Oryctolagus cuniculus: one gene and its partner. The protein of the gene in region 2 interacts with the protein of the main gene of each other region in a biochemical or structural test. Links are inferred from orthologs where the notes say so. Each region holds a gene or a part of one and is shown on either strand. Other genes may lie near its edges.

Evidence for each region.
Region 1: the proteins of GLG1 (region 2) and SELE form a complex in vitro, tested with the Homo sapiens proteins (2 studies listed by BioGRID and IntAct). The link is inferred for Oryctolagus cuniculus from reciprocal best matches to the Homo sapiens genes GLG1 and SELE.

What each region holds. Positions count from the first base shown.
Region 1 is NC_091438.1:27,592,821-27,596,628, forward strand, and holds part of SELE (E-selectin), read right to left. Parts: intron 3,727-3,808; coding exon 3,541-3,726; intron 2,789-3,540; coding exon 2,603-2,788; intron 2,497-2,602; coding exon 2,308-2,496; intron 1,104-2,307; coding exon 915-1,103; intron 705-914; coding exon 528-704; intron 1-527. UniProt on the Homo sapiens protein: Cell-surface glycoprotein having a role in immunoadhesion. Mediates in the adhesion of blood neutrophils in cytokine-activated endothelium through interaction with SELPLG/PSGL1. May have a role in capillary morphogenesis.
Region 2 is NC_091449.1:57,187,917-57,192,428, reverse strand, and holds the start of GLG1 (Golgi apparatus protein 1), read left to right. Parts: upstream 1-1,693; 5' UTR 1,694-1,717; coding exon 1,718-2,167; intron 2,168-4,512. UniProt on the Homo sapiens protein: Binds fibroblast growth factor and E-selectin (cell-adhesion lectin on endothelial cells mediating the binding of neutrophils).

The DNA of each region.
Region 1 (3,808 bases), on a different chromosome or scaffold from region 2:
AGGAGACAAGAAGGACAAAACCATCATGAGAAGAAATTGACTTTAAAATCTTTCTGCCCTATGCATTTGGCATTTGTCTCTCTGCAATGATGATTAGGAGCAGAAGAGTCACCTAGTTCAATGTGAGGCAGAGAAAAAGCAATAGAGGCCTTTAAAATCTGTCCTATCTGCCTTTGAGCCAATCTCCCACTTCTGCCAGGCTGAACTCTAACTAGCCAAGCCTTTCACAAAACTGTAACACACCTGAGTCTGTCTCTCTGTGTCTCTCTCTCTCTCCTTTTTTCCCCACTTCTCACTCCTCCTTTCCCTTGAAGGTCATCTTTTACCAATTGTCAGAATTCTACCCATTCCACACCCATTCCACTGACTTGCTACCTCTTCTGCTTTTTTTCTCTATCTCTATAAGGTCCACCAGTTTGTGAATCTGATCTTTCTTTCTGCTATGGACATGAGGATAGTTCATTACTGCAGCCAGACAATTCCCCTTCTCTGTAGGCTCCCACCACCACCATCGATCAATGTATCACCTTCACAGGTAGGCAGCATCCCAGACCACTGGCCTTCGGCACCACACATCAGAGCTGCAGAGCCGTTGAGTGTCCACCCTTCAGGACATGCAAAATTGCACACTGTTCCAAACACAGGCTCCCCACTGCAACTCACATTCGTCTTTCCCAGAACTGCCAGGCTTGGACATTGTACCACTGCAAATGATAGGTAACAGGGGAAATGGTTAGGAAAAATCTATTGGAATCCTTCTTAAACTGGCTTAAAAGTCACCAGTAAAGGCAACTTATAAGCACCACTTAATCTTCAGCATATAGGAAATTAGGATCAAGCCCCTTGGGATAATCTAGGGTCAGGAGTTTCTGAGCTATTTCACCCGTACTCTACAAGCTGGAACTCAGTCATACCTTGGCAGGAGGGGAGCTCCTGTGCCCACTGTCCCTGAGATGTGCACTCGAGTTGAGCTGACCCATGTAATTCAAAGCCTTCCCTGCAGTTGAAAGTGCAGGAGGACTTGTAGGTGAATTCTCCAGTATGGGGATGAGTACACTTCACAAAGCCATCCTCAAGTGTATGCACAGGATCACATTTCACAGCTAGAAGACAAGAGCAAGAACACTGCAGTTTTGTTTGCATCGAACCACAAAAGGTTCTCCAAGGTAGTCAAGCCCCTAAGCTTTTCAATAGTTGTGGGTTTTTTTTGTTTTGTTTTTTCTAAAATAAAAACAAAGACCATGCCTTTCACATGTGGGCTTCTCATTGTCCTACTGTGGAGCCACACTGGAGCCTTTTTGTTCCCTTCAACAAAACTCCCTGCTCTGCTCACAGATTAATTCATGGCTGGAAACTTTCAGAAGCACTAAGAAGATAATTCACATAGTGTCACTCCAGGCTGGACAAGGTTATAACCTGGAACGCTGTGACATCAAAAGGGTTGTCAGAAAATACTGCTGTGGAACTGAGCATCTGGGGAGTGAATCCAGTTATGTGGGGCAAAGCACTACTCAAAAACTCAAGATTCTTCATTATTCCTGAGGCACCTGGGAAGACGGCTGTGGTTTCTTGAAATTGTAATCCCTTCCTTGATAATGGCACTAATTAAAGGACAGCTTGAACAGGAACAGTGGTTCCTAAACATTCTTCTGACATGCAGAAGTTATGGACAAGGAAAAGATTTTATGCAGCCAGAAAGCAGTTTTGGGGTCCTAGATGCCTAAAGATGGCACCAAAAATATAGAAGATGACCTATATCAAGTTTATCTGCTTTGCATGTTGGTTTTGGTGTTACGGCAGTTTTCCACTGAAACCATTCTGGGGTATATATGTCAAGGAGAATGCCAGTGCCTGTTAGTAACACAAGCTTGCTTGCAATATCCTTTCTCTTGATTTAGGCTGAAGTAAATTTCAGTATTCATATATGTACATATTAAGTGTCTCTGTAACAGACACCAAGTCTCATCTCTGCTAGTTATAAGCAATTTCAGAATAAAGATGACAAAAACTTTTAGATTTAAATCATATTCTCAATATTCCTCTTTTCAAATGTTCTAAAGTTATTTCTTTTAGATTAATAATTCTGCTTATTCCATGCCAAAGCATCCACAAAGCACACACTAATATATACAGTCCTCTCCCTGACCAAGCACTGGTTCTTTTATATAAATCCTATAGATGGAAGATGAGTGTTCTTCAAGTCTGATTTCTACAGATAAAGTGGACATCTGGTTTCATGTGCACTGCCCAAATTTGAAGACCACTGCTTTTTGAGAAAGGAAGGGGCCAGGAGGTTTGCAGGCTTACCTTCACACACTGGGGCTTGCTGTGTCCACTGGCCCTGTGCAGTGCATTCCACCTGGGCCGGCCCCCGTAACAGGAAGTTTTCCTCACAGGTGAAGTTGCAGGATGACCTGAAGGCGAACTTCCCTTCAGAGGAGTTGCTGCAGCTCACCGAGCCATTCTGGGGGTGGTGGATGGCGTCACATGACACAGCTGTAACATATGGATGCATTGGATTAGCCGGTCCACCTTGCTCATTTCAAGAATTAGTAGAGAAAAGAGAATGTTCACGGTAAGTCTTGATGTGCAGCAACTCTACCTTTACAAGTTGGCTTCTCATTGTCCCAGCTCCCAGATGAGGTACACTGGAGGCTCCGAGCTCCCAGCAGTGTAAATCCTTCCTCACAGTCAAATGTGCAGGTCGTGTTCCATGGGGCGCTTCCCTGGCTTGGGGAACATTTTACATCCCCATTGGCAGGCTTTCCCATAGTATCACACTCGACCACTGGGGATTTGAAAGAGCACCATGAGTTTTACAGAATGATATTTTCACTTCCTATTGAATTGGAATTTAGAACAGGACAAGGAAGATGCTTCCAAAGGGTAGATCCCAAAGTCCTACTTCAATTTTTAGAGATATGCATTCCCACAATAAAGCTTTTATTCTTTTTTTAGTGAGTTTCCATCTTATCACATTTTTACTTTGACTAGGCTGAGTGGACTCTGATGCACTTTGTCATATACATAGGCAAAAATGAAAAAAACTGATTTTAGATCAGTATTTATGATTAATTTTGATTAAAAAAAACCACACAGACATGCCCAAGGCTTTTAATCATTCAAGACCAGAAGGACCTGAAGGATTGAATTATTTTGTTACTCTGGTCCAAAAAGATAAGCTTGAGTGAGCCAAAGAGAGGTTGAGAGTGCCTGATTATTGAGGTCCTAGGTTAGTCCGTTGCATGGGAAAGTTAAACAGGTGAAGATGAGAGAGTTGCTCTAATTTACAGTGAGGTTCTTGTGTTTTATATTCGCCCTGGAGAACCACCAGGGCCTCGGAGACATCCATTTCAGAGAATAAAAATCTCTCTCACACCAAGCAGGTACCACATTTGCCTAATACATTGGCTGCATTGGTTATTTAAAACAACACAAGAAGACATTTCCCTGGAGTTTTGAAAATATTATAAGCTGGATGGAACACCAAGGCAAGGTGAGATGAACTAGAGAATGTCCTCTGCACTCCGAGAAATTTACCTTTGCAGGTTGCAGGGGGAGCACTCCACTCTCCTGAGGATGTACACCATGTGGTCTCCGTGCTGCTTGGCAGGTAGCCCCTTTCGCAGCTGACAGAGCAGGAAGAATTGTAGCTGAAGTTCCCCAAAGGGTGGGTACAATTCAGGCTCCCGTGCTGAGGCTGTACCTGTGCTTCACAGGTCACAACTGAAATGAATAAAATCAGATTAGTTCTATTCATGTCTCACCCTGTGTAGGTGAGAATAACACTAGAAACTCTATTGTTTCC
Region 2 (4,512 bases):
TAATGGTTCCTGGTGACTTCTCAAGGACTCGTGATGTCTCTGGCCTGTCTCTTATCTATGCTTTGCGTTTTATCTCACCACGCTGGTAGAGAAGAGCCTTAGGGTCATTTTATGGCAGAAACAAGTGTGAGCCTTGGGAGATACCAACCTGTTTTCAGTCTCAGAGGTGGAGGCCATGGGTTGGTCACGGTAGGCAATTTGTACCCACAGAATATTCTCCGCCTTGGGGGGCTGCTTTTGGAACCCCTGAGCCCCTATCCAACTTCTCAGGTCCTAGTTATGGTCTTTACTGCTCATCTGTGGGCCGGGACAGCAGGATTTGCATTTTGGACTTGATAACTTGTAGTCAGTGGGGACTATATGTCTCAAAGTGCCTCCCTCCCCATCATTCTGCAATGGCAGAAAGGGATAAAAGTGTACCAAGGTGGTGGGAAGACCCAGAGATTGGGGTTGAAGGCTGTAAATGGGCTGGCAGAGTTCATCCTGGGTAGCTCATTTAACTCCTCTGTGCAGAACTGTTTAACATTTTTAAAAAAGATTATTTATTTGAAAGAGAGATACAGAGAAAAAAGGAGAGAGAGTAAGATCTTTCACCTGCTGATTCACTTCCCAAGTTGCTGCAATGGCCAGAGCCCGGCCAATCCGAAGCCAGGTGCGTCTTCCAGGTCTCCTATGTGGGAGCAGGGGCCCAAGCACTTGGGCCATCTTCTGCTGCTTTCCCAGGCCATAAACAGAGAGCTGGATCGGAAGTGGAGCAGCCAGGACACCAACCGGCATCCATATGGGATGCCGGCACGGCAGGCAGAGGCTTACCCTTCTATGCCACAGCACCAGCCCCATTTAACATCTTTATGCCATTCCCCAGTTGAACTGGAACCTAACCCAGTCTTGATGCGCGACTCAAATGGTGCAAGGGATGTGAAGAGGCTTTGGGAAGACGACATCTCTCCCAACCTGAAGGAGGCGACACTGGTGAGGGTGCAGCAGGTGTTGAAGATGCTACAGACAAGTCCGCAAAAGCAGCGGCCAGCACACAGCCAACCTGTGTTCCATTTTCTTTTCAACCTTGGGTCCTGAGTCTGCTCCTGGCTTGGAATCAGGACTCCCGCAGAGGGCCTCACATCAACAGACACCGCTGTAACTTTCTGAGTTCCATGCGTGGGCTAGGCACATGTCTCATTTCTAATCTTCACAATCAAGTGCGTTCTTGACATTTCTGTTCACGTGCAAGGGTTAGGGCCAAGGCGTCTCTTCTTAACCTGTGCTCTTAACCACTGCCCTGGAGGCGAGAAAGACCCGGACTGCACCTGCTGGGGGAAAGGTTCACGTGTACACACTTTTTTTTTTTTCCAAGTGACTGAACTGGGGACACTGTCTACCGGCCATCTTGGTTGTGGCAACCCCAATCCTTTTTGATTTTTTTTTTCCTGTGACGACAACCAAGGGACTTGGACCAAGTCGTCGTGGCCCTACCCAGCTTTCTAAATCGGGCCCAGCCACTTCCAGGGTAAAGAGCGCGGCTTTCCCGCCCGCCGGGTCCGGGGAGTGGGCGGCGGCGCCACAGCGCGGCCTGCTCCGCGCCCTGCCCTCGCCTCGCGGGTCCTCGGCGGCCGGGGAGGGGCTCGGCGGGGCCACGACGGCCCCACGCCCCGCGGCTCCGCCCCCTCATTTAAATACGCGGCGCCGGCGGGTGCGTCGAGCTCGCCGCGGACCCAAGATGGCGGCGTGTGGACGTGTACGGAGGATGTTCCGCTTGTCGGCGGCGCTGCCGCTGCTGCTGCTCGCGGCGGCCGGGGCCCAGAAAGTCCCAGGCCAGGGCGTCCACGGTCAGGGCCAGGGCGCAGGGGTCAACGCGGTGCCCTTTGCAGGGCAGGCCGGAGGCGGCGGCCCAGCGGGTCCGCAGCTGCCCCCGTCATCGCAGCTCCAGCAGCAGCAGCAGCAGCAGCAGCAGCAGCAGCAGCAACAGCAGCCGCCTCAGCCGCCGCAACCGCCTTTCCCGGCGGGTGGGCCTCCGGCTCGGCGGGGCGGAGCGGGGCCCGGCGGAGCCGGCGGGGGCTGGAAGCTGGCGGAGGAAGAGTCCTGCAGGGAGGACGTGACCCGTGTGTGCCCCAGACATACCTGGAGCAACAACCTGGCGGTGCTCGAGTGCTTGCAGGACGTGAGAGAGGTGAGCGGGCGGGCCGGGCCGGGCCGGGAGGGCCAGGCCTGGTGCGGGCCCGCGGGTGCCGCCGAGTGTAGGTCGCCGCTGCGCTGCCCGCCCCTCTCTCCCGGGCGCCCTAGGGGGAGAGGACCCCACCCCCACCCCCAGCCCCAGCGGGCCCTTCTTCGCCCCCCTGTTCGGCGGGCTGGGACGGAGACCTCGGCTCCCCGCCTCAGCCGCCCGCGGCCCAGAGCGTGTTTCTGTTTGCTCCTGTCTTTTGTGTGATGCTCCTCGCCGAGAGCCACTTTAGCATTTTGCCCTCGGGTTCGACTCGGGCGATTTGTAGCAATCCATTTTAAACCTGGAAAATGCTTGGCGTGCTTCAGCTGCTGGGTGTGGGCTGTTCATTGGCTGTAGATCGTGTTTGATTAGGGGTCTGTTCTGGTGTGTGTTGTAGCCAACAGCAGGATTTATTGTCTTAACCCTCGTCCTTTTGTAATTTGCTGGTCCCCTCTTTTTTTTTTTTTTTTTAAACCTGGTGAACCGAGTGTGTGCTCTCCCTCTTTTGGTCAGTTTGTAGCGAACCTCGTTTTTAAACTTACACCATGTACCTTGGCGCCCCAAAGCTTGGAAAGTTGGGGCAGCGTGTGAAGCTGTAGTCCCTAACAGTGTATGTGGTTAGGTGGTGGAATCTTCCCTGAGGTCTGAGTCAGACTTCAGCAGCACCTCGGCATGAAATCTGCAGTGGATGTTGTCTGATAGGATTCAGCTAAGGGACGTGGGTAGTTGCTTCTCTAGATTTAATGCTGGGGTCATAAGTGCCTACTGGCCATTCTCAGTCCAAGTCTGGAAGCAGATCTGGTGGGGATTCTCTTTTCTAAGACGTAGATTTGCAGAACCAGCCCACCAGGTTGACAAGGAGAGGCTGCTGCTGTTTTGTCCGGGATGTTGTGTCTTGAATGCTGTCTAAGGCGCGCAAGGCTTTGGGAAGACCGCTGGCTTGGGGAAATGTGCTGCTCTTGGTCATTTTCTGCCTTCAGCCCACTGCCAGGCTCGTCCTAGTATTCTCCATAAAGTAATTCAGAAGAGACACCCAGAATCAGGAGAAGTTTCCAGAGCCACCAGACACGTGGGGCCTCCGTGATGTCTCACGTGTAGCTTGAAGCCAGAAGGAAGCTCCCTTGCTACTCTTCTTCAGCTGTTTTAGCAGCTTCAGCTACGATTCCTAACGCTGCCAAGCATTATGGAGTTTTCTGTTTGTTCCCTCAGGATACTTAATAGAGCTTGTTTCCTCACACGGGGATCCTAACACTGGTGGCCACCCATTGTTAGTGGTTGGTGGCAGAAACAGAACCTTATTAGGGAAAGTGGCAAAAAGTGTCCCATGCAAGTCTCCTTCATTTGCGTTAGAAACATTTGAAAATCTACAGTCTTCCTTTGTTGTGCGTGTAGACGTTTGTAGAGGTATACATACTCCGTAAATGACATAGATTTGATGATTTCCTGGAATCTGCTTAATTTATATCTTTGTTATATTACTTAGTATGTAGAAAACTACACTGGCTTGAAAATTCACTCCTAGCTCTACCAGTGACTGTAAGATTCCCAGCAAGGATATTATCACAGTAACTACATTTTTCTTCTTTTGTAGGGGTGATCCCTAAACTCTGAGGGGTAGTACCTAATTCAGTGCTGGCATCTCTGAAATACTGTTTGACTGAGGATGACTAAACTTATGGAGCTGATTTTATGCTCCAGAGGAAGAAAGGTATCATGTAAATTGGAGATGGGGGTATGTCTTTGGAGATGAGGGGCTAAATTTCCAATTTAGAAAAATTTCCTGCAAGGCCGGCGCCGCGGCTCACTAGGCTAATCCTCCCCCTGCAGCGCCGGCACACCGGGTTCTAGTCCCGGTCGGGGCACCAGATTCTGTCCCGGTTGCCCCTCTTCCAGGCCAGCTCTCTGCTGTGGCCCGGGAGTGCAGTGGAGGATGGCCCAAGTGCTTGGGCCCTGCACCCCATGGGAGACCAGGAGAAGCACCTGGCTCCTGGCTTTGGATCAGCACAGTGCACTGGTCGCAGCCCACCGGCTGCGGCGGCCACTGGGGGGTGAACCAATGGAAAAAGGAAGAGCTTTCTCTCTGTCTCTCTCTCTCACTGTCCACTCTGGCTGTCAAAAAAGAAAGATAAAAGAAAAATTTCCTGCAAGTTTACATACAGAAATATGGAAAGAAGAACACCATAAATACATGTGTATATTCTTGAGTAGATAGTTATTTTTAAACTTTTTTTTCTTTAAAGAGAGCAGAAGGGGGGAAAGCATTGTTGCACAGCTGGTTAAGCCGCCACTTGGGGCACCTGTGTCCCATATTG